Rattus norvegicus: one gene and its partners. The protein of the gene in region 6 purifies or fractionates together with the protein of the main gene of each other region. This does not show direct contact. Links are inferred from orthologs where the notes say so. Each region holds a gene or a part of one and is shown on either strand. Other genes may lie near its edges. The genes, in order: Copb2, Nudcd1, Copb1, Arcn1, Cope and Copg1.

Evidence for each region.
Region 1: the proteins of Copg1 (region 6) and Copb2 purify together in Homo sapiens (co-immunoprecipitation; 8 studies listed by BioGRID and IntAct, counting the BioPlex papers as one, with this or other methods). This does not show direct contact. The link is inferred for Rattus norvegicus from reciprocal best matches to the Homo sapiens genes COPG1 and COPB2.
Region 2: the proteins of Copg1 (region 6) and Nudcd1 purify together in Homo sapiens (affinity purification with mass spectrometry; 3 studies listed by BioGRID and IntAct, counting the BioPlex papers as one, with this or other methods). This does not show direct contact. The link is inferred for Rattus norvegicus from reciprocal best matches to the Homo sapiens genes COPG1 and NUDCD1.
Region 3: the proteins of Copg1 (region 6) and Copb1 fractionate together in Homo sapiens (co-fractionation; 11 studies listed by BioGRID and IntAct, counting the BioPlex papers as one, with this or other methods). This does not show direct contact. The link is inferred for Rattus norvegicus from reciprocal best matches to the Homo sapiens genes COPG1 and COPB1.
Region 4: the proteins of Copg1 (region 6) and Arcn1 purify together in Homo sapiens (affinity purification with mass spectrometry; 6 studies listed by BioGRID and IntAct, counting the BioPlex papers as one, with this or other methods). This does not show direct contact. The link is inferred for Rattus norvegicus from reciprocal best matches to the Homo sapiens genes COPG1 and ARCN1.
Region 5: the proteins of Copg1 (region 6) and Cope fractionate together in Homo sapiens (co-fractionation; 6 studies listed by BioGRID and IntAct, counting the BioPlex papers as one, with this or other methods). This does not show direct contact. The link is inferred for Rattus norvegicus from reciprocal best matches to the Homo sapiens genes COPG1 and COPE.

The regions. Positions count from the first base shown.
Region 1 is NC_086026.1:108,047,187-108,050,686, reverse strand, and holds part of Copb2 (coatomer subunit beta'), read right to left. Parts: intron 3,447-3,500; coding exon 3,360-3,446; intron 3,158-3,359; coding exon 3,031-3,157; intron 2,233-3,030; coding exon 2,084-2,232; intron 198-2,083; coding exon 51-197; intron 1-50. UniProt on the Homo sapiens protein: The coatomer is a cytosolic protein complex that binds to dilysine motifs and reversibly associates with Golgi non-clathrin-coated vesicles, which further mediate biosynthetic protein transport from the ER, via the Golgi up to the trans Golgi network.
Region 2 is NC_086025.1:77,477,776-77,481,767, reverse strand, and holds the start of Nudcd1 (nudC domain-containing protein 1), read left to right. Parts: upstream 1-1,192; 5' UTR 1,193-1,258; coding exon 1,259-1,373; intron 1,374-2,653; exon of another isoform or gene 2,654-2,855; intron 2,856-3,992.
Region 3 is NC_086019.1:177,838,251-177,841,840, forward strand, and holds the end of Copb1 (coatomer subunit beta), read right to left. Parts: intron 3,209-3,590; coding exon 3,063-3,208; intron 2,432-3,062; coding exon 2,342-2,431; intron 1,780-2,341; coding exon 1,624-1,779; intron 875-1,623; coding exon 815-874; 3' UTR 501-814; downstream 1-500. UniProt on the Homo sapiens protein: The coatomer is a cytosolic protein complex that binds to dilysine motifs and reversibly associates with Golgi non-clathrin-coated vesicles, which further mediate biosynthetic protein transport from the ER, via the Golgi up to the trans Golgi network.
Region 4 is NC_086026.1:53,955,006-53,958,505, reverse strand, and holds part of Arcn1 (coatomer subunit delta), read left to right. Parts: coding exon 1-116; intron 117-2,212; coding exon 2,213-2,302; 3' UTR 2,303-3,500. UniProt on the Homo sapiens protein: Component of the coatomer, a cytosolic protein complex that binds to dilysine motifs and reversibly associates with Golgi non-clathrin-coated vesicles, which further mediate biosynthetic protein transport from the ER, via the Golgi up to the trans Golgi network.
Region 5 is NC_086034.1:19,156,238-19,160,395, forward strand, and holds the start of Cope (coatomer subunit epsilon), read right to left. Parts: upstream 2,801-4,158; 5' UTR 2,758-2,800; coding exon 2,632-2,757; intron 123-2,631; coding exon 60-122; intron 1-59. Other genes in the region: probable ATP-dependent RNA helicase DDX49, read left to right, coding at 3,142-3,256. UniProt on the Homo sapiens protein: The coatomer is a cytosolic protein complex that binds to dilysine motifs and reversibly associates with Golgi non-clathrin-coated vesicles, which further mediate biosynthetic protein transport from the ER, via the Golgi up to the trans Golgi network.
Region 6 is NC_086022.1:121,922,540-121,926,761, reverse strand, and holds the start of Copg1 (coatomer subunit gamma-1), read right to left. Parts: upstream 2,801-4,222; 5' UTR 2,695-2,800; coding exon 2,658-2,694; intron 1,644-2,657; coding exon 1,591-1,643; intron 1,254-1,590; coding exon 1,173-1,253; intron 966-1,172; coding exon 894-965; intron 742-893; coding exon 662-741; intron 1-661. UniProt on the Homo sapiens protein: The coatomer is a cytosolic protein complex that binds to dilysine motifs and reversibly associates with Golgi non-clathrin-coated vesicles, which further mediate biosynthetic protein transport from the ER, via the Golgi up to the trans Golgi network.

The DNA of each region.
Region 1 (3,500 bases), on a different chromosome or scaffold from region 6:
GCAGTGAAGACCTGCCTAGCATACAGCACGGAAGGTTATAGAAACTGTACCTGATAATCCCATATTTTAACGAGCCGGTCATCTGCACCTGAAATGAGGTATGGCTTATCACCACCACTGTAGTAATCAATGCAATTCACGCCTTTTTCATGTCCCTCCAGCGTGAAGTTTGGTGATGAAGAGCCCAGCTGCCACACCTTCAGAGAACAGAGGCATCTGCCAGTCAGCACTTTCAGAGGCAGTTCCCCCGCTTTCAACACAAGACATCAAACACCACAGCCCAAGACACAGTGTTCCAGGATATTTGCTCTGGTCTCATGATAATTTTTAGAAAGCAGAATCACTTCTCCATGGAGATTATAGATATAGTTCAGTTGTTGACCCTGTTATGTTTTTCTCAACTTGACATAAGTACTTATCTGGGAAGAGGGGATTCAACTGAGAAAATGCCTCCATCAGACTGGCCTGTAGTAAGCCTTTGGAGGCATGATGGTGCCACCCAAGAAAGCAGGCTGAGCAAATCATGAGGAGCGAGCCAATGAACGGTGTTCTTCCATAGCTCTGCTCATTTTACCTCCAGGTTCCTGCCTTGAGTTCCTCCCCAACTTCCTTGGATGATGGCTGGTCAGTGTTTTAGCACAGCAACAGAAAGAAAACTAAGAAAACTGTATACAGGTGAAGCGCAGGAATCAATGAACAAATTAACACTTTGAAAACCTCTACTTTAAATTAGGTCCTGATTGGATGGGAGCTTAGTGCTGAGTAGCATGTGTCAGAATGGAAGAGCTCGCCAGGGAGAGCGAGGCACACGCCTGTGTTCCCAGTGTCTGGGAAGCTGAGAGAATTAAGAATGTGAAGCCAGTGTAGGGTGGATACACAGTAAATTCTAGGCCACCTTAGCATACACTGTAGACCCTGACTCAAAAAATCAGATAAACTTAATTTAGTGAAGAAGTTAAAACTGATCTCAGTTTCCCATCTATGTCAAAAGCAGGGGCAATTCAACAAATGATAACAAAGTCAAGTTAAAAACCTGAAGCTCTTAAAACACAAAATAGCTTATATGAGTTAAATTACTAAAAATATTATATACATGTAAGCAAATGTGTAAGCAAAAGTAATGTGATTTGAAATTTATTTTAGGTCAATGTACTGAGAGGATGGAGAAAATCTGACTGTACTCACGGCAACAAATAGTCAGTATCCAGTAGAGCCAAAGTACTGTGCTACTCTCCCAGAACACCTTGGGGCTGTGCAAGGGGAGACACAGCTCCTATCCCAAATATCCAGGATATCACAGGGATAAATGATTTTAAATTACATGAATTATCACTCAATGTGAAGACTGTTAATAGAAACAAAATCTAAAGGGAATGACATACACTCTGTCTACAGCCATTAGTCGCTAGACTGGAGCGCTAGACTGGACTTTCTCAGAATGACTATCTGTGCTAACCCTTAGAGAGCTATGAAGATGCTCAGAGAAAAATAAATTCAAATCCGAGAATGCAAAGACCTGCAGTCAGAGGGAGAGCTGATGAAGCACTGCTCTGTGAACACTCAGAGCATTGCTAGAGGACAGCGAGTAGGTCAGTCATATTGGTGTCTGTATCAGCAGCCCAGGCTAGCCCTAACCATCCTGTATTTCACTCTTAGACATCTGTAGTTTATTCTCCAACAGGAAATAAACAAAACAGACCCTGAAGACAAGCAGTCCACAGCAAGAGGCAGAAAGAGGGGATGGCAACAGAAAGAACTTAAATATAAAACAGACCAGTGATGAGGAGACAAGAATGACTAAAGGACACACACACACACACACACACACACACACACTCTCTCTCTCTCTCTCTCTCACACACACACACACACACACACACTCTCTCTCTCTCTCACACACACACACACACACACACACACACACACACACACACACACACACGTGTCCTAGAAACGTGGCAGTGCTTCTAACTGTAGATCCTAGAGTGGAAACCAATGTTCTACTGCGTTGCTTCTGCCTGGCACAGGAGCACAGGGGCTTTCTGGCCAGCCAGAGTAACGCACCAACGTAGTGGACACCTACCTTGATGGTCCTGTCGAGAGAGGCACTGGCAAACTGATTGTTATCTTTGGGGTTTATCACAATCTGCATAACATAATGCGTGTGTCCTTCAAACACTTGTGAACAAGACCATTTTTTGTCCCAGTCCCAGAGCTTAATAAGCATGTCATCTATACCAAAAGAGAGCCAAGTCAGTTGTGGATTGTTTTCATCTCTGTAATAAGACAGTTTCAGTGAGTTTTAAGGTAACACATGTAGCATAGTTCACAGTCCCAGTACCTATGCCATAGAACTAATACTGGGAAAGTCCTTCAAGTCCTTACCTGACCTCAGAGCATACTGACTACAGAACAGTGCGGACAAAGTGCATATAGACAGCTACTAAAGACATACAAAAAACACGACAACTTCTTAAATTTAATTAAACAAACAAACAAAAAAACCCCAGTGGTTACCGGCTAAGTCTGGCTAAAAAAGCTGACTGTGGAAAGAGGCAGAATTTGCCTGATGAGATAAACTGCTTTTACAGAAGTTCTCACTTGTTAAATTTATAAATATTTCAAAGACTACTACCAACTCAGGGATACCCAGGTAACAGCCCTCCTGCGGGTCGCTTTACACTAATACCAGGGAGCGAGCTAGCTAGTCTGCATATGCAGATAAACCAACAGAGCCTGTGGCAATCTGCCAACAGCCTGCTCATCAGCATTCTAATGCGCTTTCTGCTCCCCAGATACAGATGCTTCTAGACCTTCGAATTTTCCATCAGGAATTAGAGCAATTGCAATATAATCCTATTAAAATACTAAAATACACAGGTGGGCAGCACCAACAGCACAGTAATGGATTCAAATTGTTTAACAGAAGCTTGGAGTGAGAGCTCCATTTGCCACTGCAGTTAAAGCACAACATGTCTCGGGAAGCAAATCATTACTCAGTGCACAGGACTGAGGCAGGTTGTCTCTTACCACTGCTTGTGAGAATGAACGGCTGGGTGGGATGAACAGCAATGCAACGGATGTAATCCGAGTGTGCTTCAAACATGTGCACCCTCTCCAGGGTGTTATAATTGAACACTCTAATCTGCATATCATCCTAGGAATGGAGATTTTAAAGCATCACTATATGAGATAAACTGTATACACAACTAAACTGTATTACAAGCTCAAGGTATAGCCTCCTACCATCAGAATACTACGTTTAATTAACTTAATGAACCAGGCATTACAACTCTGTAACTAGTATCTATGACCACTGGCCAATGAGAGGGTAGGATCTGATACTCAGAGCTACTTACTGCTCCTGTCACCACCCAGTTCTTCCTTGCGACAAACTTCGCAGCTCGAACAGGGAGATCACACACTTCAAAGGTCTTCACCAGCGTCTTGAAATGTTAATAAGAATAGACACATTAAGTTATGAAGAAGTAACTAAAGAG
Region 2 (3,992 bases), on a different chromosome or scaffold from region 6:
ACGAAAAGTGAAATAAGATAATGTGATTTACTCATCAATTACAATTTATGGGGAATTACAACTGCTACCCTACCACGAATTTCAAATTAGTCTTTGAGAAATTCTCCATTTTAAATAAAAACGGCCAACCAATGCCAAAATCAGTGTAGGCAGGGAAAAAGCAAGGCTAACTTATGAGAGCATTTTTGCCACTTAAAAGTTTAAGATACAATCAGGTTAAAGTTAATGTTTTCCTACTTAATGTCACTAACTTGAGTACTTTTGTAATTTCCCGTCTTGTCTGTATGAAAACTCAGACTATAAAGAATTTTCAGAGTTGAACTACGCCAAGAGGCGGGTGAACGGAGGGTTAATAACTAGGCAACGCTTTACTTCTGTAGTTGGGGCTTAACATTTTGAAAATAACTGCAAAAGTTTAGACCGTACCATACCAAGAACAGCAAAACTTCGTCTCGTCTTGGCCCCTAAAACCACGGGTAGTGACCTTGGGCAAGTCACTTAATTCCTAAAGGCCTCAGTTTTCTCACTGGTAAAACAAGGGCGCTAGGGAATCCCTCCCAGTTCTGACATTCTTTGGGAAAATGAAACACGCCGGAGACAGCTGGAGAGGCGGGAGGGGAGGAGCCAGAAAACAAAGCGAAGACTGGCTCCAGGCCAACTCCAGCAGCACGCCCTGTCGGAGAGCCCTACAGGCCCGCGAGCGCGGGTCGGGGAAGCTAACGAAAGACAGCACATCGAAAGGAGCCTGGGCTGGGCCCGGGTCCCGGCCCTGAGGACCACGGGCATAGCTCACCACCATCACCGCGGGCGAGGGCCGTCCCTTCCCAGCGACGAAATGACCCTTGCGCTGACGACCGTTACCTACCACACTCTTCAGCTGCCCGGACTTAGACCCTCAGTAGCTCGGGCACCTAAGCACACAGAAAGCTAGACCACGCATTTCCGGGGCGGGATCTGGCCACCCTGCCTATAATGTGAGAATTCAACTAGCGCGGGCCGCCTTCTGGTCGCTCGGCCCTCTGGGTAGGGAAGTCCAGAGTCTGCTAAGTGGCGAGTGTTCGGTTGTCAGAACACTACATTCCCCAGCATGCAACGGAGTCAGCTTTCTCACGGACACTACATTTCCCAGAAAAGATGTGGCGCCGCAGAGTCCTCTGGGATGGGAACCACGCCGCTCTCCCAGCCTCAGTTCCAGGAGTGAAGCGCGAACCTTTCAACAAGAGCTTTATTGATTCTCTTGCTTGGATCCGGCAACGCGATGGAGGCGGCTAATTGCTCCCTGCGGGTGAAAAGACCCCTGCTGGATCCCCGCTTCGAGGGCTACAAGCTATCGCTCGAGCCTCTGCCCTGCTACCAGCTGGAGCTTGATGCAGGTGGGATCGGCGGCACCCTCTCGCACCGGGTTCCTTCTCGTTTAGGCTGCCATTGGCGCAACCCTCTGTCACTCCGGCTAGCCAGTCACGTCCTGTCGGTCTGCACCTAGAGCGGCCGTCCACGCGGGGACCCCAGGATGCCCCCATTTCTTTCCGCGCTTTAGCAGCGGGACTGTGGACTGGCCTAGGCATCTGTAGCTCAGGCTTAGATGTTTTCTGCCCATACATCTCTGGCCCTTGCTACGAAGGTTCAGGTTGTCCTTCCCTCCCAAACCACCTTTTGTAAACGTGTCCGCTGAGAAGCCACACCTCCTTGGAAAATCCCCAACTACCTTTTTTTTTCTTCTGACGCAGAAACATTTCTTGGAGAGAAAATTTTCCACATTCAGTTAGCAGTTTTAAGTATCCTGATACATAGAACAACGCCACAATTTATCGAGGGAAAGTGATTTAGTGCGCTTACTGCTCTTGCTTATTTATTTGTAACTTTCTAGAGGCTATTCGCCTTTTTACAACGTTAAGAATTGTAGTTTTGTTAACCAAAGTGTCCAGAGATTCGTGTTTTTAAATACAGCCCTCTGTAGATTCTGATTTTGATACACGTTTTCCATGGGTTGCACTTTGAGAAATAGTGATCTAGAGGTGTTAGTCAATAATGTATTAAGCATTCCCTATGTATCTATCTGTGTATCTTTTCTATAGATACAAAGGAGTCTGCATCCTTGACTGTCCTGGCACTTGCTGTGTAGTCCCGACTGGCCCAGAACTAACAGATGTCCTCTGTGCTGGGATTAAAGGCATATACCACCAAGCAGCCCAACAAATGCTTGTTTTTCTAAGTTTGTTTCTTAAGTATAGAAGTAATTATTGTGGGCCTGTTTTGTGTTTTCTTCACGATGATTAGGTGATTGGCACAATCATGAGTGCCTAACATATCATAATTCATTCAGGAATAAACATCTATTACAGTATGGGCAGGTAGGAACATGACCAAGTGTAAATGGTCTAACGGAGTATGCTTTCTCAAATTGTCTGGAGATCTGGTAAAGCTTCCAGGAGGAGTTGATGACTGAGTTGAGTTGTGAAGGATAGGCTGGTAACTGATGGCTGGTATAAGAGGAGAGGAGCTTCCAGGAGAGGAGCTTCCTTCTTTTTCCTCTTGGCATTTTTGTTGCTTTTGTTTCTGTCAATAAATGACCCCGCCATGTTCAGTTGGCCAAGTCATTGGAAATAAAACACAAAGGACCAAACCCTAATGGGCCAAACCAGAAGGTACTCACAAATGTGCAGGTCAGCAGGTCTTCCTCACTGCTTATTCATGTGTCTTTGCTCAGGTACGGGCCGGTCGAGGCAGGTCTAGTCATCCTGATTCCACCATCTACACCATTTGCTGGCTCTTTGCTTGCTCCAGCATTTGTCAGATGATCTTGACTTGAGTCTTCCACAGGCTGCTTGCAGGAAGTCAAGTCACAGTGCACATGCTGTTTCAGTGGCTTTAAAACAAATTTCCACATGTTCTACTGGGCAAAGCAAATTAAATAATCAAGTCAGGAACTGCTGTTGGCAGACCCTAGCTGAGGGTATAGATCCAGAGTGCTAAAAGTTGGGACAGTGAAAGTCTAGGAAGTTAGCAATTACTCCGTGTCAATGTGAAATCAAGGTACTAAACAGGTATCATTCCCAGGTTTCCTTGGGCCTTTGTGTAACCCCCTCCCTGCTCACACGTAGTCAGGCAGTGAGAATGCTTACTCTCATCCCGATGTCTCTTTATTTAGTGCCACCATAAAATGGTGCTGCCCCCATTAAGGTCTAGATAGTCTCTCATAGGTTTTCTCAGAGGCATATCCACTACATGATTTGGAATCCTATGAAGTTGACAGCCAAGATTAGAGCTGTCTACTTCTGCAAATTTCATTTTCTGTACAGCTGTAAATGCATTTCATATGTGTGTATGTGTGTAGTGTTCCTTTATTCCTTCATCTGTTGATGAACATCTAGATTGATTCTGTTTCCTAGCTTCTGTGAACACAGCAGCGGTGAAGGTGAGTGGACAGAGATCTCAGTGGTAGGATAGAGACCCCTTTAAATATATGCCCAAAAGTATAGCTGCTGGGTCATAGGCTTTGGAGAAACCTCCATATTGATCTCCGTAATGGCTATAAGTAGTTTAAATTTCCGCTAGCAGTAAAAAGGGATCATCGGTATATGTTGTCCTCTCATTTCTTATGCATGACACTGAATCTCAAAGTAGGTTTAATTAGCTTTTTTCCTGATTGGTAAGGATGTGAAGCACTTGGAAGCTATGCAGTGAGGTGTGTTTTAGTTTTTGTAGTTTTTTCTTGTTGTTATATATAGTTGGCTATTAGCCTTTTGCCTGAAGTAGAGCCGCTGAAGAGCTTTCATTCTGTAGTCTGTCCTTTCATTCTGTTAATAGTTTCTTTGGTGTTCTGAAACATTTTAATTTTACATCATCCCATTTCTTAGTTCCTATGGGTACTTCCTGTGCTGATAAAGTTTTGTTCAAAGTTTTTTTCTGCCTATATCTTGCAGTGTAAGCCCTTTAATTTCTTATAGCCATTTCAGTATTTCAGGTTTTAAATTAAGATCTTTAATGGAGTT
Region 3 (3,590 bases), on a different chromosome or scaffold from region 6:
GGAGTCATAATGAGGGGTGTGTGTTGCTTAGCCCAGTGAAGTTATGAACAGTAGGGAAGGAGTGAAAAACAGAGGCCATTTGGAAACGGAACAGCTGCTGAATCCCCCAAAGCTAATCCTCCCAGTGCAGTCTGTCACTGGCTAGAGCCACTGTAATTACTAACAAGCACAAACACCCAATGCTGAATGTGCATGAATTTTCACACTGATTTTAGATGATCTAATTTCCATAATAATTCAGGATCATCAAGAATAGTATGGCAGTCAGAGTCTTACAGCTCCTTTAAGCCAAAGACACTTTTCTCAGGTAATTTGGATACTTTTTCCTTGAAGCAAAGTTTGAGACCCTAGAGTTTTAGAGACACTAATGTCATTACAGAAAATGAGGGAACAATAATGCACTAAACCAGTACCCGCTCCATTTTAGGTCACTCACTTTGTAACTCTCTTCATAAATATAGGCCAGGTAAAAAAAAGAAGAAATTCCACTGATACAAATCTAAAATTAAGTAATTTATTTATAAAATAACAAAAATTTATGAACAGATCTGTTTATTGTGAAAATGGTCTTGGTACATATGAGGAACTTTATATACTTTGAGGACAGCATTCAGAACTGTTAAGATAAAAGACAAACTATAATTTTAAACTCATTCTTGATTTAGGGGAAAGGCTATAAATTACGGGCTGGAATGAATTCAGCATGAACTCAAATTCTACAAGCATAAAGCATGAAAGAGTACAAAAACGTCGGAGTCCAATCAGCCCACACCTAAATTTTAACCTTACACTTTCGAGGACCGTTTGTTCATTCTTAGAGACTAGTCTTCTTTTGAGACAGGTTGATTTTATCTCCAAGGCTCAAGGCCATTCCCTGCAAAGAAGAATGAAGATGTTTATATTTTTATCTGGTTTTGTGATGTTGGGATTAACTCATGGTCTACACATGCTAGGAGAGTATTCCCAAGACTGAGTTACATTCCCAGAGTCAACAACAGTGATTACTGAAACAATGCCCAAACAGGCTGCACAGCCTAACTACGCCTCCATTGGATGACGACGTCACATTCAACAACAAAACAAAGGATATAAAGACAGACTCCAAAAACGTTTACTGGTTGATTTTAGTGATGTTGGTTTGTGTTAGACTGATGCCTTATCTGTTAAACAACTCTATAGAATCTGTTTCACAAACATCACTCAGAGGGCTGGAGAGATGGCTCAGTGGTTAAGAGCACTGACTGCTCTTCCAGAGGTCCTGAGTTCAAATCCCAGCAACCACATGGTGGCTCACAACCGTCTGTAATGAGATCTGGTGCCCTCTTCTGACCTGCAGTCACATATGCAGGCAGAATGCTGTACGTTAAATAAATCTTAAAAAAAAAAAAAAAAAGAAAAAAGAAAAACAAACATCACTCAGGAATCGATGTTTTAGGCAATATGGTAGATAAGCCATTTTAAATGAATTAAACCTCAGAAAATACCATGCATATGTATGTATGTATATATTTATCTCAGGCACAAAACATAATTATGACAGAAGAAATTTATCACAGAAATAAGACATATATGAATTCTTCCTCTATTTGGTGCAGAGATGTTCTCAAAAAAGGATGTTATTACCTGACTTTTTGCACGAATTCTTATATGGCCAGTAACAGCAGCATCTGGTCCCTGGTGAACTGGCTTCTCAATGCTGACATTTGCAAGTGCATCCTCTCCAAATATAGAGCGAGCATATAGGTTGGCTGCCATGAAGCCACAGTAGCCAGAAAGGGCCTGGGAAGAAATGTGTGATAGATCCAGTACTTGGCTAGAGAACTATAATACCTTGGCAAACTCAATATACATGCAAACTATTACTTAAAACTTTACTTACGTGGTGCTTGGTATAGGAGCTAATAAGTTTGCCAAAACTCAAAATAAATATATGTATAAAAATTTAAGAATTCCCTGTGCATTCTATAGTTTTAAGAGTACTTATTCAAATTTATATTTACATATTCTGTTCTGATTTACTTATTTGTCTCCTGTATCAGGCTTTTAACTTCCATAAAGAAAGGCTTCTTTTGTTGGACTTAAAAACTGTTGAAGAAACTAATCTACAAAATCTACTAATTTGGCAGTAAACCCACACCCCACCCCCGCCCCCGGCCCCACCCCCATGTATGTGTACGTGCGTGCGTGCGTGCGTGCTGCTAAACAAACATTCTGTCACTGAGCTACACACCCCAGATGACAGCTGACATTTTCTTATTAGGAAGATGCACATTATGGCATTAACAGAAACTTTTTTTTATAGACTTTTTATAGAATTTCACCTCTTCTAGCCTCCTCCTACCTTCTCTGGAGTCAGGCACTTCATGTTGGTGGACTTGAGGATGTGCTGTAAATAATCATTCAGGTCAGTCACGTTGGTGTTAACTGTCACCTGCAGAGGAGAGGACTCAGTAAACTGTGCGTCACAGCCATTTCATCCTACAGCTTTCTGCCAACTATGGAGGGAAGAAGGGCAATAAAAAAGTAATGACTGCTACGAAAGCAGCTGGCATGGCAGGGCTTCCAGACAGATACCTCCCTAGACCGTCAAAGAGACACAGAGTTCACAGAAAACTTAGGGGGCAAAGTTTCCCACTGGGCCACAGACTTCGCACAGCCTTGAGGATACGAGAGCCAATGGTAGATTATCATCCCGACACAGCACAGGAGGGATCTTGTCTACACGGTCTCAACCAAAGTAGTTACAGAGTTATGACTTGCTAGGTGTGGTGATGCACACTCTAGTGTCTGTGCCAAGATGACATGGGCAAGAAGGTTGGGCACTGGAGACTTGACTAGGCTAGAGAGCAAGATACCATCACAAGATTCCAAAAAGAACTGCCATTCACCACACGGAATTACCAAAGTACTTGCATGGTTTCTCGTTAAGATAATACACAGGAACACATAATGAAGAACTGTTTGCTTCTCACTTCTTATGCTTTTTGGGGGGAATGACTTTAAAAAAACCCTCATCACTAGTCATAAGGAAGAACTGCATAGGAAACCTCTCAACGACTAACTTTATTTTCCCATTCAAATTCGGCCCACATCTGACGGAACTCAGCATCAGTGCAAGTTGCAGGCTGGATATAGTCCATGATGTCAATGTGGATGTCACTGAGGACCACACAGTTTCTGTCACTTGCTGCTCCAGAGACATCATAAACTGTAATAAACATAAAGAGTCCCGATCAAAAGGGTAGATGCTAGTTCAAAATAACAAATATTTATGACATTAGCAAATATTTATATATACTAGATTCTAAGTGCTTTATAAATATTACCAACTGAATAGCGCCATCAATCCTACCTTACTATTTTCCATCTCACAAATTAGGAAAGCAGGTAAGTCAAATAAGTTTCCTCAGGTTACAGAACTGGTAAGCGATAGGACTTAGGAGTTAGACCTTAGGCTCAGGTACACTTTGTCTCTTGTTGTTTATATATATATATATATATATATATATATATATATATATATATATATCTCAGCTATAATGGGCCAGGTACTACACTAGACATACAAATAGTTCAGTATTCTCATAGTT
Region 4 (3,500 bases), on a different chromosome or scaffold from region 6:
TGATTGATGCCAAAAATAAGAGTGGCAGCCTGGAGTTCAGCATTCCTGGGCAGCCCAATGACTTCTTCCCTGTTCAAGTTTCTTTCATCTCCAAAAAGAATTACTGCAACATACAGGTACTCTGTTATAACAGAAGGCAGATATGGGAAAGGCAGGACAAGTGCCTGATAGGTAGCACAGCTTCATGTTAAAGCAGAAATCAAAGCCAGAGTCTTCTGCAGACTCCAGTCTGACTCATCATACTTCTCTTTTTTTTTTTTTTTCTCCTTTTTATAACAGGGTTTGCTTATGTAGCCCTGGCTGGCCTAGAACTTGCTATATAGACCAGGTGTCCCTCCTGGGACATAGTCATAGAGTTCTGGGTTGTTTTGTTTTGTTTTGTATTTTTAATCTTCTGTTTGTAAGGACCAGAAAGTTGAGTAGATAAAGAGCACTTACTGTTCTTTGTGAGAGCCCCGGCTTGGGTCCCAACATCAACATGGTTGTTTACAGCCATCCAGAACTCCAGGTCCAGTGGATCCAATGCTCTCTTCTGACCTCTGCAGGCACCAGGCACAGAAATACACACACATAAAGTAAAATAAATCTAAAAAGGAAAAATTATTTTGTGTGTATATGTGGGACCATGTGCGTGCCAGCACGTTTGTGTAGGTCAGGACAGGTTCGTGGAGTCAGCTCTTTCCTTCTCAGCAGCAGAGTGAGCACACACACCTCCTGAGTCATCTGCTGCTCTGACTCCTTCTATGGATAAAGTTTAGATAAATAAAATGTTTCATATAAGAGTACTTACTGGGGGTTGGGGATTTAGCTCAGTCGTAGAGTGCTTGCCTAGGAAGCGCAAGGCCCTGGGTTCGGTCCCCAGCTCCAAAAAAAAGAACCAAAAAAAAAAAAAAGAGTACTTACTGATTGTACATGATTCATGTACACTAAGTGCCTTCTAACCTCATGTATCTTCTTAAAGATTTATTTATTATATATAAGTACACTGTAGCTGTCTTCAGACACACCAGAAGAGGGTGTCAGATCCCATTACAGATGGTTGTGAGCCACCATGTGTTGCTGGAATTTGAACTCAGGACCTCTGGAAGAGCAGTCAGTGCTCTTAACCACTGAGTCATCTCTCCAGCCCTAACCTCATGTATCTTAAAGTCTATTTGCATATCCCTTGCCTTACTGTCGCTTTACCATTTATCCAGGAAATCAAAATACTTTATGTATTTAATAGTGCAGAAAATCCAACCCAGAGCCCCAGCAGGCTAGGCAAATGCTTTACCATTGGGTTGTACTCTTGGCCTTCGGGGTTTTTTTTAGACACAAAATTGCTGCATAGAATTGGAAAGATGGCTCAGTGAATAGTGTGTGGTTAGCATACCTCAAGCCCTGTTAAAAAATGTGATCTGAGCCTGGCATAGTTGCTCACACCTTTAATCCCAGCACTTGGGAGGCAAAGGCAGGCCAATTTCTATGAGTGTGAGGCCAGCCTGCTCTACAGAGCAAGTTCTAGGACAGCCATGGAGAAACCCTATCTCAAAAAAACAAAAGCAAACAAACAAAAAAGAAGGAAACACTATCCTGGGACTGGAGAGATGGTTCAGTGGTTAAGAGCACTGGCTGCTCTTCCAGAGGACCAGGTTTGACTTCTAGTACTTCTATGACAGCCCACCTGTGATTCCTGTGTCTGTGACTCCACTCCTAGCTGATCCAATGCCTATTTTTGGCTTTTGCTGTCACCAGACACAAAATGATGCACAAACATGAATGCAAAACACCCATACACCCATACACATAAACTGTAGAAAAAGAAGAAGGTCTTTCAACATAGTATGGTTTTGGACAGGAGACTGAGATGAATTTAATAAGTAATGCAGGAGAGGTAGCAGACTTATTTAGGACCAGAATGTTAATTGATCATCCTTATAGAATGTCTGGCTTTCCTGGATTTTATAGGGCAGGCTGAGCCTTGCCACTCATCCTGGCTTTTACCTGTGGCAGCTGCTGTCCGTCTTACTGTACCAATCAGTTTTCTCTAGAGTACAGATTAGATGATGCCACAAGGAACAAGTATGAGCTCTGAGTACATTTTGGTGTTTCCAAGGTACTTTTGATCCTGATTTTAGAGAATGTGATAAAATCTGTAATGAAAATGTAGTTAACATATCAGAGACTCACTGTTGTTTTTCCTCTCCCCCCTCCCCTCTCTTTGTTTTCCTAGGTTACCAAAGTGACCCAGGTAGATGGAAACAGCCCTGTTAGGTTTTCCACAGAGACCACTTTCTTAGTGGACAAATATGAAATCCTGTAGTACCAAGAAGAGAAAGCTGAAAAGCAAGGATTTCAGATTAATAAAGAAGAAGCCAAAAGTGGCTGAAGAGTTTTTCCAAATTTACAAGCCATTGGAGATCCCCTCCCCCCCTTTTTTCTGATACAGTGCACGTTCTCTGCGCGCAAGGACCCTCAACTCACACCCAGTGTTGTGGTGTCACAGAGACATTTTTGACAAAGACATGACGCTGACATAAAGGGAAAGGCTGCTGATTTCTTTGGCAGATCTTACTGGCCAGCAGGAAGCCATCTCTCCAGGGAATGCCCCAGTAAATAGCTCTTCTGCCTTCACCTAAGTCTCCCTTTATTTTAAGCCCTAAATACAGGTATATTTCATACTTTGTTTTACAAAGTTTTCTCTATAGATTTGAGTCTTTTACACTCCTTTGCTTTCTGTTTTCTTTCAGTACACTTATCACGCACTGGGGTCACCTGTCTGTGGGTATTGTCTTCAGCACTCTGAGAAGAAGGTTATCTAACCCATTCTTGACATTAGACAATGCCAGTGAACTGCTTGAGGGATGTGGAGTCTAAAAGTTGAAACACAAGGTTATCTTATTTTCTCTCCCATATCCATCCATTGCTCCATTTCTTTATGAAGTTGTTCCCTTGTAAGCCGTCCCCTTCCAGTTGCAGGCAGTACTGTGAATCCCATTCCTATCGATATTAAAGGTAGCTCGCTGAGAAGCAGCTTTTATATGGACACACCTTTTCAAGATGCGTAGTAAGATGGCTCCATCCATTTCCACATGTAATCATGTCTGCTGCTAATGCTACCCAAACTTAAAGTTCTCTACATGCTGTGGGACAATTGAGTTGAAGCATTGTCACTCAGGGTGTTGTAGTCCACTTAGAGTCCTTGTGTCCACCTCCTTCCCCTTCCCAGATGCTCTTCCCTTCATCAGTCTTTCCAGCAGAACTGAGTCTAGTGAGTCTGTGCCATTTCTCATTAGCCCTAATGAAGAGGCCCCATCCTCACCACCATTTGGTAGCATTTTGAGAGGCAGGGGATTATATTGGTGTGCAGTAAGGGGCTACTCAAATATACCCCATCTAACCTGACATTTCCCACCCGCCTCTCCGCCCTTGTTTCTGAAAACCTTTTTCTTCTCAGCCTTTTTGGTGTCATCATGTAATAATTGTAGGAGTTTCTCGGCTCATTTTGATCCTTTACCTTT
Region 5 (4,158 bases), on a different chromosome or scaffold from region 6:
TGACTGTCCACAGCTTTCCTGCAGAGTACCTGTGCCCTTCCCAGGCGGCCCACACTCACCTGTGCGAGGTATGCTCTATACAGGAAGACATCCCTCTCGACTTCTCTCTCAGGACTGGACAGCTGTGAGGAGATTTGTTGAGTGAGGCTGAGGAGCCTGCTGGGAGCTTCCCTGGTGCACTCAGGCTAATAGCTCAGGGCCTTAGCTGGAATCCAGGAGGCCCAGAAGCCCCAAAGGAGCCTCCACAGAGGGCACAGTGTAAAAAGCCTGATCTTATCTCAATGAGGCTGTCATCACCCCAGGTATCAGGGCACAGTGCCATATGGCTGCAGCAGCAGCAGGGCTGCATGCCCCAGCCCAGAAAAGTCCTACTGAGTTTAGAGTCCAGGCTGATCATGAACTACCTGAAATCTTCCAGCCTCGGCCTCCTGGGTGTGATACCTGGGGTGAGGACAGGGTGATGATATACTGTGTTTTGGGCACACAGGCTAGGCCATTCTGTGGTCGGTGGATACACACATTTATTTTAGTTAGCACCCAGGACAGAGTCTAATGATCCTCCTGCCTCAGCCTTTGGAGGAGCTTGGACCACACACCGAGGGGCCCCTGATCACTGCAGTCTAGCAACCAGCAGCTCTCATGTGGCCAGAAATTGCAGCAGGGAGAGGCCCTGCCTCAAGCCACCTACAGTTCTAGAGCTCTCCCTGCCTGGAAGAACAGATGGTGACCAGGCCACCTGCATGCTATCTGAAGAGATCCTGGGAACTCAGCAGAAGGACCAGCCTGGACTATGAGACATGCTGAGGGCCCCAGGGAGACTGGGCTGGCTGATGTCGGAGGTGGGGCTGCTGTGTACTTGTGGTAGGTACTAAAAGGGAAGATGAGAGAGAGGGAGCACAAGCTTCAACCAACACTGGGCGAGGACATAGGGTGGGGCATCTGACCAGTACACAAGAGTCTTGATGTCTCCCTAAACCTGAAAGGCATAAGGAGAGGAAGGAAAGATGCCGGTATCACAGAGAGTCACTGAAGTAGCTTGCTGGGTCAATGACTGGTGACTAAACATTTATTGTCCCGCATCCCTAAAGTTCAGAGTCCAGAATCAGGAACTTACACCTAACCACATAAGTCCTTAAAAGCAGAGACATAGAGGAAAGGGACCTATGGGAAGGGAGATAGAAGAGGTCCTAAGGATGACAGGACGCCACATCTGGCTGTTCTGAGATGGGAGAAGAGCCTGGGACTAGAGAGAACCTTCTAGGAGCTAGATGTCTTCAGTGAATACAGAGCCGCTGGGAAAGCTAGGAAGTGCTGCTTGTCCAGAACCTTAAGAAAAGAGAGCTTTGAGACCAGTAAGAACAAACCTCCACACACTACTCTACACACTTTACCCTAGCCACACTCCAGCCCATCATGCCCTGACCCTGGAATGCTACGCTGTTTTCACAGTCAAAATAGCCAGGCCTGAGACTACCACTTTCCTGGTTGCCTGCCTGGCCTCTGTTGCCGAGGCTACTGCACCTAGAAAGCCTGGAGTTCCATCAACTCTGTCTCTCACTGAGCCCAGCAGGAATGCTGTTTTCCACACACATGCAGAGAGGGATCAGTGATAGGTGATCCTGTCAACAACACAGGCTGTTGCAGACAATTCCCATTTTTAATGAACTAAAGACAAGCACAGGCTTGTCATCCTGCATCTGGGAGGGCTGAGGCAAGACTGCTGAATCTAGGGACAGCCTGGGCTACGTGCGACTGTTTAAAACATAAAACAAAGCCAGGGCTGGGATTTAGTCCGTAGAACACTTGCATCAACGCTGTGCTTCCCACCTCCAGTACTGCATAAACTGGGGCTGGCAGTGCACACTGCAATCCCAGTACTCAAGAGTGGAAGCACAAAAATCAAGAATTCAGTGTTCTTCAGCAAGATGAGGAATTCGAGGCCAGCCTGGGCTAAAGGAGACTGTCTTCATTTATAATCGGACTTCTCTTTTTTTGGGGGGGTGGGGTGGGAGGGCGAGGAGGGTACAGTCCAAGCCAGGATTTTTCTGTGGCACCCTGGCTGCCCTGGAAGTCGCTATGTAGGTCAGGCTGGCCTAAAACGCAGAGAACTGACTGCCTCTGCCTCTGGGTGCTGGGATTTAAGAGACGCGACACTACCTCTGGCTTGAGACTGTTATTAAGACAGATTACAGTATTATCCGACTGACCTAGAACCCCTCATGAAGATCAGGCTGACTCTGAACTAAGAGATCAGCCCGCCTCTGCCTCCCAAGTGCTGGGATAGAAGGCGTGCACCACGATGCCTGCCTAAACACTTAATGAAAGGGGAGTGAGGAGAAACGAAATAGTAAGAGGTTACAAGATAGAGCCAGTGGCGCACACCTGTCACCTCATCATTACCCTGACTTCAAGTCAGCCTGGGCTACGAATTGAGCTATCAATCAACTAATAAAATTTTGGAAGCTGGGCACAGGGGTGCACGCCTGTCAGCCTAGCACTCAAGGGGTGGAGACTGAAGGCGTAGGACTTCAGGTCAGCCTCGGTTACACAGTAAGTTCAAAACTATCCTTGACTATAAGAAAAACCGAGTCCGCCGACCAAAACCTCAGAACTGCTCCGCACGCTGCCTACCTTCACGCGCTGCGCCTCGTTAATGCACTGCTGGTAGCTGCCGATGTAGAAAGCGTTCTTCACGTCGAACAGCTCGTCTACCTCTCCAGAGCTGCCAGAGACCGCGCCGGGAGCCGGAGGAGCCATGTCACCACCCCTCTAACCGGTCTTCTTCCTGGGAGACACGTAGGCCGGAAGCAGGGACCTGCCGCCGGGAACTATGGGAAACGTAGTTCTATGGGACCAATAGGAGGCGTTGAAACAGAAACCATGCAAAGCCTCCCGAGAACTATAGATCGGATTCGATGAACAAACACAAGGTTTTCAGGACCAAAACACTGAAAAGCGGTCGAAGCTGGGATTGGTTGAGGGATCTGGAGCGGGTGGCTGCGCAGTGGCTCTCCGTGACGTCACATTCATCTGCCAGGGTTCGTTCACAACTTTCCCAGGCGGGACTGCTCCGGGTGGACGTGATGTACCATTCACGCGCCGGAAGTGCTCACCACTAGGTTCTCTACACTAGTCTGAAGCATGGCGGGGTTCGCTGAGCTCCGGCTATCGTCGTGGCTGGTGGAACAGTGTCGACAGCTGGGGTTGAAGCAGCCCACGCCGGTGCAGCTCGGGTGCATCCCGGCCATCCTGGAAGGTGAGTCCTTGACTCTCTTTTAATGCCTTTCTTTGTCCCCTCTTCCTTACCCCGGGTCCCACGAATCAGGACAGCATTGGGTGTTTCAGAGATCCTGACCCGCAGCATTGGCATTTAGGCTTCGACTGACTCGTGTGCATTGTCATACAGGTGATGGATGGAACCTCTGAAATTTTCGTAGAACCCGAGCATTAGGGAGAGTTCGGTGAATGACTAAAACGTGGCACTGGGGCAAAAAAAAGGGGGTGGGGAGTAGAACTGGCCTTGACGTAGCAAACAGAAACAGAGGCTGTCAAACTCCAGGCTCCGTGTTTGTGTCAGTGCTCTTCAGTTCAGCTCACTTTTGCCATTAAAGAGGCATCCTTGGAGCCGAACGTGGTCATCTCTCATCTCAGTCATCTCAATACCGAGCAGGAGGATCAGGAGTTCAAGATAATCCTCAGCTGTGTAGCAAGTTGCAAACCAGCCTGGGATACTTGAAAAATTGTTTCAAACAAGCAGTCATAATAACTGTTGGAAATTAGATGATGTTCAAGGGATTAGTGAACATAAAACAGCTTTTAATATTCTATTCTGCAGAAAAGGGTGCTGGCATTGAAAAAAGGATAAAGTAACTGGTATACTGATTTCAAGCAAGTTTTCGAAGCTTTCCCCCCAATCCTGCAGGGCTTGCCCCCTTCCCAAATTCCCCACCCCATTGGTCCATTGGGGCCCCAACTCTTATCTAATGAATAATTTGGGGCTTGAAACTGCCCCCCTTTTATAATCATAGGCTCAGTCACATAGCAGACCACCTGTAAGTCTCCAAGTCTTAGAATTGTAAGACATGCGGGTGCCAGCCACCAACTAAGGGAGAGAAGGGCCCAGCACCTCCTACTCACCTGTAACTCTAATAAACTGTA
Region 6 (4,222 bases):
AATGTAAGTATCTGTCTGCATGTGAGTATGTATACCTGAGTATGGTGCCCTCTGACACATCAGAGTCCTTTGTAGCTGGAGTAACAGATGCTCTTAAGCCTCCTGATGTGGGTTCTAGGAAAGCAACTGGTGCTCTAACCACTGAGCCATCTCTCCAGCCCCAGTAAGTATCAATGTACCTGAAACTGGCTGTATGGACCCTCTCCTTGGCTAGCAATGTCAATAAGAAATAAAAGAACTAGGTGTGTGTGTGTGGGGGGGGGGGTGTTGTTTTATTTTATTTCTTGGTGACATCTTCTTATGTAGCCCAAGCAGGTTCAAACTGGCAGCTATCCTCCTGTTTTTACCAAACGCTGTAAGTACAAGTGTATAGCACCATGTCCAGTTTTGACTCCCAGTTCTGAAGGATTTCTTGCATCTGTTTTTCTTTTCCTTAGCACTGACTAAAGACTCTCTGAAAGCTCCACACTGGTTGTGCCGTCTAAGGAGGAGGAAGAGAAGCAAGGCCAGAGAAGTGAGAAAGAAGCAGACCACTCTAGAGGCTGGCAGGGGGTGGGCCTAGGAGGACAGGGCACAGGCCAGATGTCAGGAGTCCCTTGGCTGTACGAGTTGTCTCTGTCAATGGGTCCCACCAGAGGAGCCACCCCTGCCCAAGACATGCCTGCTCGTCACAATGATGACATCCTCAGCGATGCAGGACATCTCCTTGATGGTCAAGTAGCACATTCGGCGGAGTGTGGGCTGGAAAAGACATGGAGAAGACCCTATCAGTCCTGCTCAGTGGGAGAGGACCTGACTCAAGAGGAGCCTGACTGTGTGGAAGGCAGTTGTCCTCCTGCCAGCTACCCTGTCACAGGCGTCACATCTGCAGACATGCAGATTGACGTACTTACATCATTGGACTGAAAGAGCTTGGTCATGGCAAAGAAAGCCTCAGTTGCTTCTGTGGTCCCCAGGTGCTCCCCCTGTGGTAATCAGAAAAGACGCAGGTTTGGACAGGAGGTCAGCAGGCTAGACCTTTGGAGCACAAGCAACAAATGAGAGCTGGAAACTTAAGAGGACCCAGGGCTAGACTGTTGGTTCCAATCACAGAGCTGTCAATCGAAAGCTTAAGGGTACATCCCCACTTACACAGTCCCCCTTGTACTCCCTGCCAAGCCCCATCTTGTTACCTGGTTTATGAGGTAAAGGATCTTGGTGAGGATGTGGGCACATTTCCGGGGGTTGATAGGAGTTTCGTTAAAGACCCGAGCCTGTGAAGAAGCAACCATTACCTCTAGCCTAGTACACTTCCATTCCACAGCTGCCCCTCAGTTCATGAAGGGCCTAGAGAACCACGGGGTGTGTCAGTCCACACAAATGTATTCTCAAGTGGGGAGAGCCTATTTCTCTTAACTGATCTACGTTATGACTAGGTAATACCCCAAGTCTCTGCTTGTGCTGCCCTCGTACTAGTCACACTTAGCAATATAATTAGTAGGTCCCACCTTCCTGGGCCCAGGCTCTGTAAACCAGCACTCTATGTATGTTAGTGTCTGACAGCAGGGCTGGCAGGCATCCCTGACCAGACACAGGTATGATGGAACTTGCCTCTTGGAGTACTGCACTCTTCTCCAGGTGCTGGAGGGGGTTGGAACCTCCACCTACAGTGAACAGAGAAGACTGATTACAGGTTGTGATCTTGGATAGATTTCTTTCCTTCTTTTTCTTTTCTTTTTTTTTTTTTTTTTTTTTTTTTTTGAGACAGCGTCTCACGTATTCCATGCTAGCCTTGAACTCAAATTTTAGCAGAGGACGATCTTCCTACCTCTACTTCCTGGTTTACGCAGTGCTGTGGATCAAACACAAGGCTTCATGCATGCTAGGCAAGCACTCTACCAACTGTTACAGCCCCAAACTGGGACCCTAAATTTCAAGATTCTGCCAAACACGGGGACGGGAAGGAAGTCTATATCATCTTCCAGAGGCAGTCAAGGTCCTCTCACAGTCACCTAGCATTCTTTCTGTGACTCTCAAGGTATAACATTTAGCATTGACTCGTACAACCAGAACTTAAGTGAGTCTATGTGCCAGGGACAACCAACACTAACTGACCTGTGACTGAGATGACAGCAGATATTACATTAAGTAATTATGCATGTGATTATCTGGTTACTGTCTGGCTCCTCCATTATGTGACCATCCTAACATTCCTATTGCAGGCATCTAGTGTCGCACTTGCCTTAGGTACTGCAATATCAGGATCAGTGAGGTTCCTGATGTAGTTTATTGAATGAGTGAAAGAAACAGTCAGGGTTATTAACTGCTGGACTGGTTGCACCCAGATAGGCAAAGAACCAACGCAGCTTTGGCAAATACCAAGAGGTCGGGTGGAATACAAGGGAGCACCCATCCTTGGAACCTCCTCTGACAAGATGGGGAAACTGAGGTCCAGAGAGGTGCGTGACCCGCACAAGGTCACGCATCAATTCTGACCAGAACTGGAGAGTGCAAACAGCACGTCTTCTCCAAGAATTGCTATGGACCTGCGCACAAGCCCCTGCCCCTCTCTGGCCTCGAATCTTGTTCTGACAGAGGCCCGGAAGAAGGAAGCCTAGAAAGGTCGCGTGAATCCCCGCGTGGATCTGGCCTTCCCAACACTTTCAAGGGTCCCTCACCAGACTCCTCGTCCTTCTTGTCGAATTTCTTCAACATGGTGCCAGCGGTAGCTCCACGCAATAGAAAGATGCTCAGGGTAGCGGTGAGATCAATTTCTCCCAGCGGCTTCCGTACTCCCGCCCGCCACGTCGCCCTGAGCACTGCTCTTTGGACTGCGCCTGCGCACTCTATCGTCTGCGCCTGCGCACAACTGCTTCCACGTTACACCTTCATTGCCTGCCCGGAGACAGTCAAAATCTAGCTGAGTGGAGGAGAGCGGAAGGCTAGGAATGAGACTCAGGAAAATGGGCGTGGCTGAGCAATGGGGCGGGGCCTTAGACCTGCTGTTGCGGGTGCTCCGCCTCTGCGCCCCCGTGTGTTCCGGTGGCTGATGTCTTTGCAGTTGCTGCCGGCTGAATTTAAAGGGCGTTCTGATTGGGAGAGTTGCAGCACGCTGACCCCATAAACGTTCTCTGTTACTCTTTATTGTCATTTTCCGGAAGTCTCACTGATAGGTTATTTTTACGCCGCCGGTGAAATGAGCCAACAAGCCAGGTTAGAATATTTTAAAGGCAAATTTATTGGGAAGCTGCTCTCGGACAAGTTCACTGTCCCCAAGGATTGTGCCAGGGGGGTCGTCGTAGGCGGGAGACGGGGCGCGAAGGGGGAAAAGGGCACCCGTTGCTAGCCAAGGAACCGATTCCATCAAAGTCTAGTTTTGTAAGCCAATGAATATTAGAGTTATGTACACTTGTGCTTTAAAAATTGAGATATACGGGGTTGGGGATTTAGCTCAGTGGTAGAGCGCTTGCCTAGCAAGCGCAAGGCCCTGGGTTCGGTCCCCAGCTCCGGAAAAAAAAAAATTGAGATATAACTGGACATTGTAATTTCCGCACTCATGAGGCAGAGAAAGGATGAGTTCAAGGCCATCTTCCGGCACCAACCAAAGCTACATGACTTCCACCTCAAAAAATAGAGCCAATGAGGTGGCTCAGCTGGTAAATAAAGGTGCTTGCTGCCAAACCTGAGGACCTGGTTCAATTGTGAAAATTATGAAATGAGTCTTTTCTACTAAATACTGTAAAACTTGTGTTTTGACAAGGAATCCAAATATTGTTTATCTTCCTCCGCCTTGTAAGACTTTTAATACAAAATTTTAAATACCCACACCCAGTAAAAATTTTGTTAACTTTGTAAAAAGGCCATGCTACTCTCAGATTAATGTGACTGACCTTTTCCCCTTTAAATTCCTTTGCTGGGTTTTTTTTTTTTTTCCCTTTTTTCTTTTTTCTTTTTTTCGGAGCTGGGGACCGAACCCAGGGCCTTGCGCCTTGCGCCTTGCGCTTGCTAGGCAAGTGCTCTACCACTGAGCTAAATCCCCAACCCCACTGGGATTCTTTTAAAACTAAAAGACAATGTCACCACCTGAGTTAGAATAAAAATGTGGTTCCCATGTCTGCGTGCTTCTTCTTGGAAGCACACCCTATTAATCAAAAGTCATGTTTGCCTGGGAGGATACTACAATAGGAGGGGTGGTCTCCACCTTCCCCCTTCTTTCTCCCCCACCCCTCTTTCCTCTCTCTGC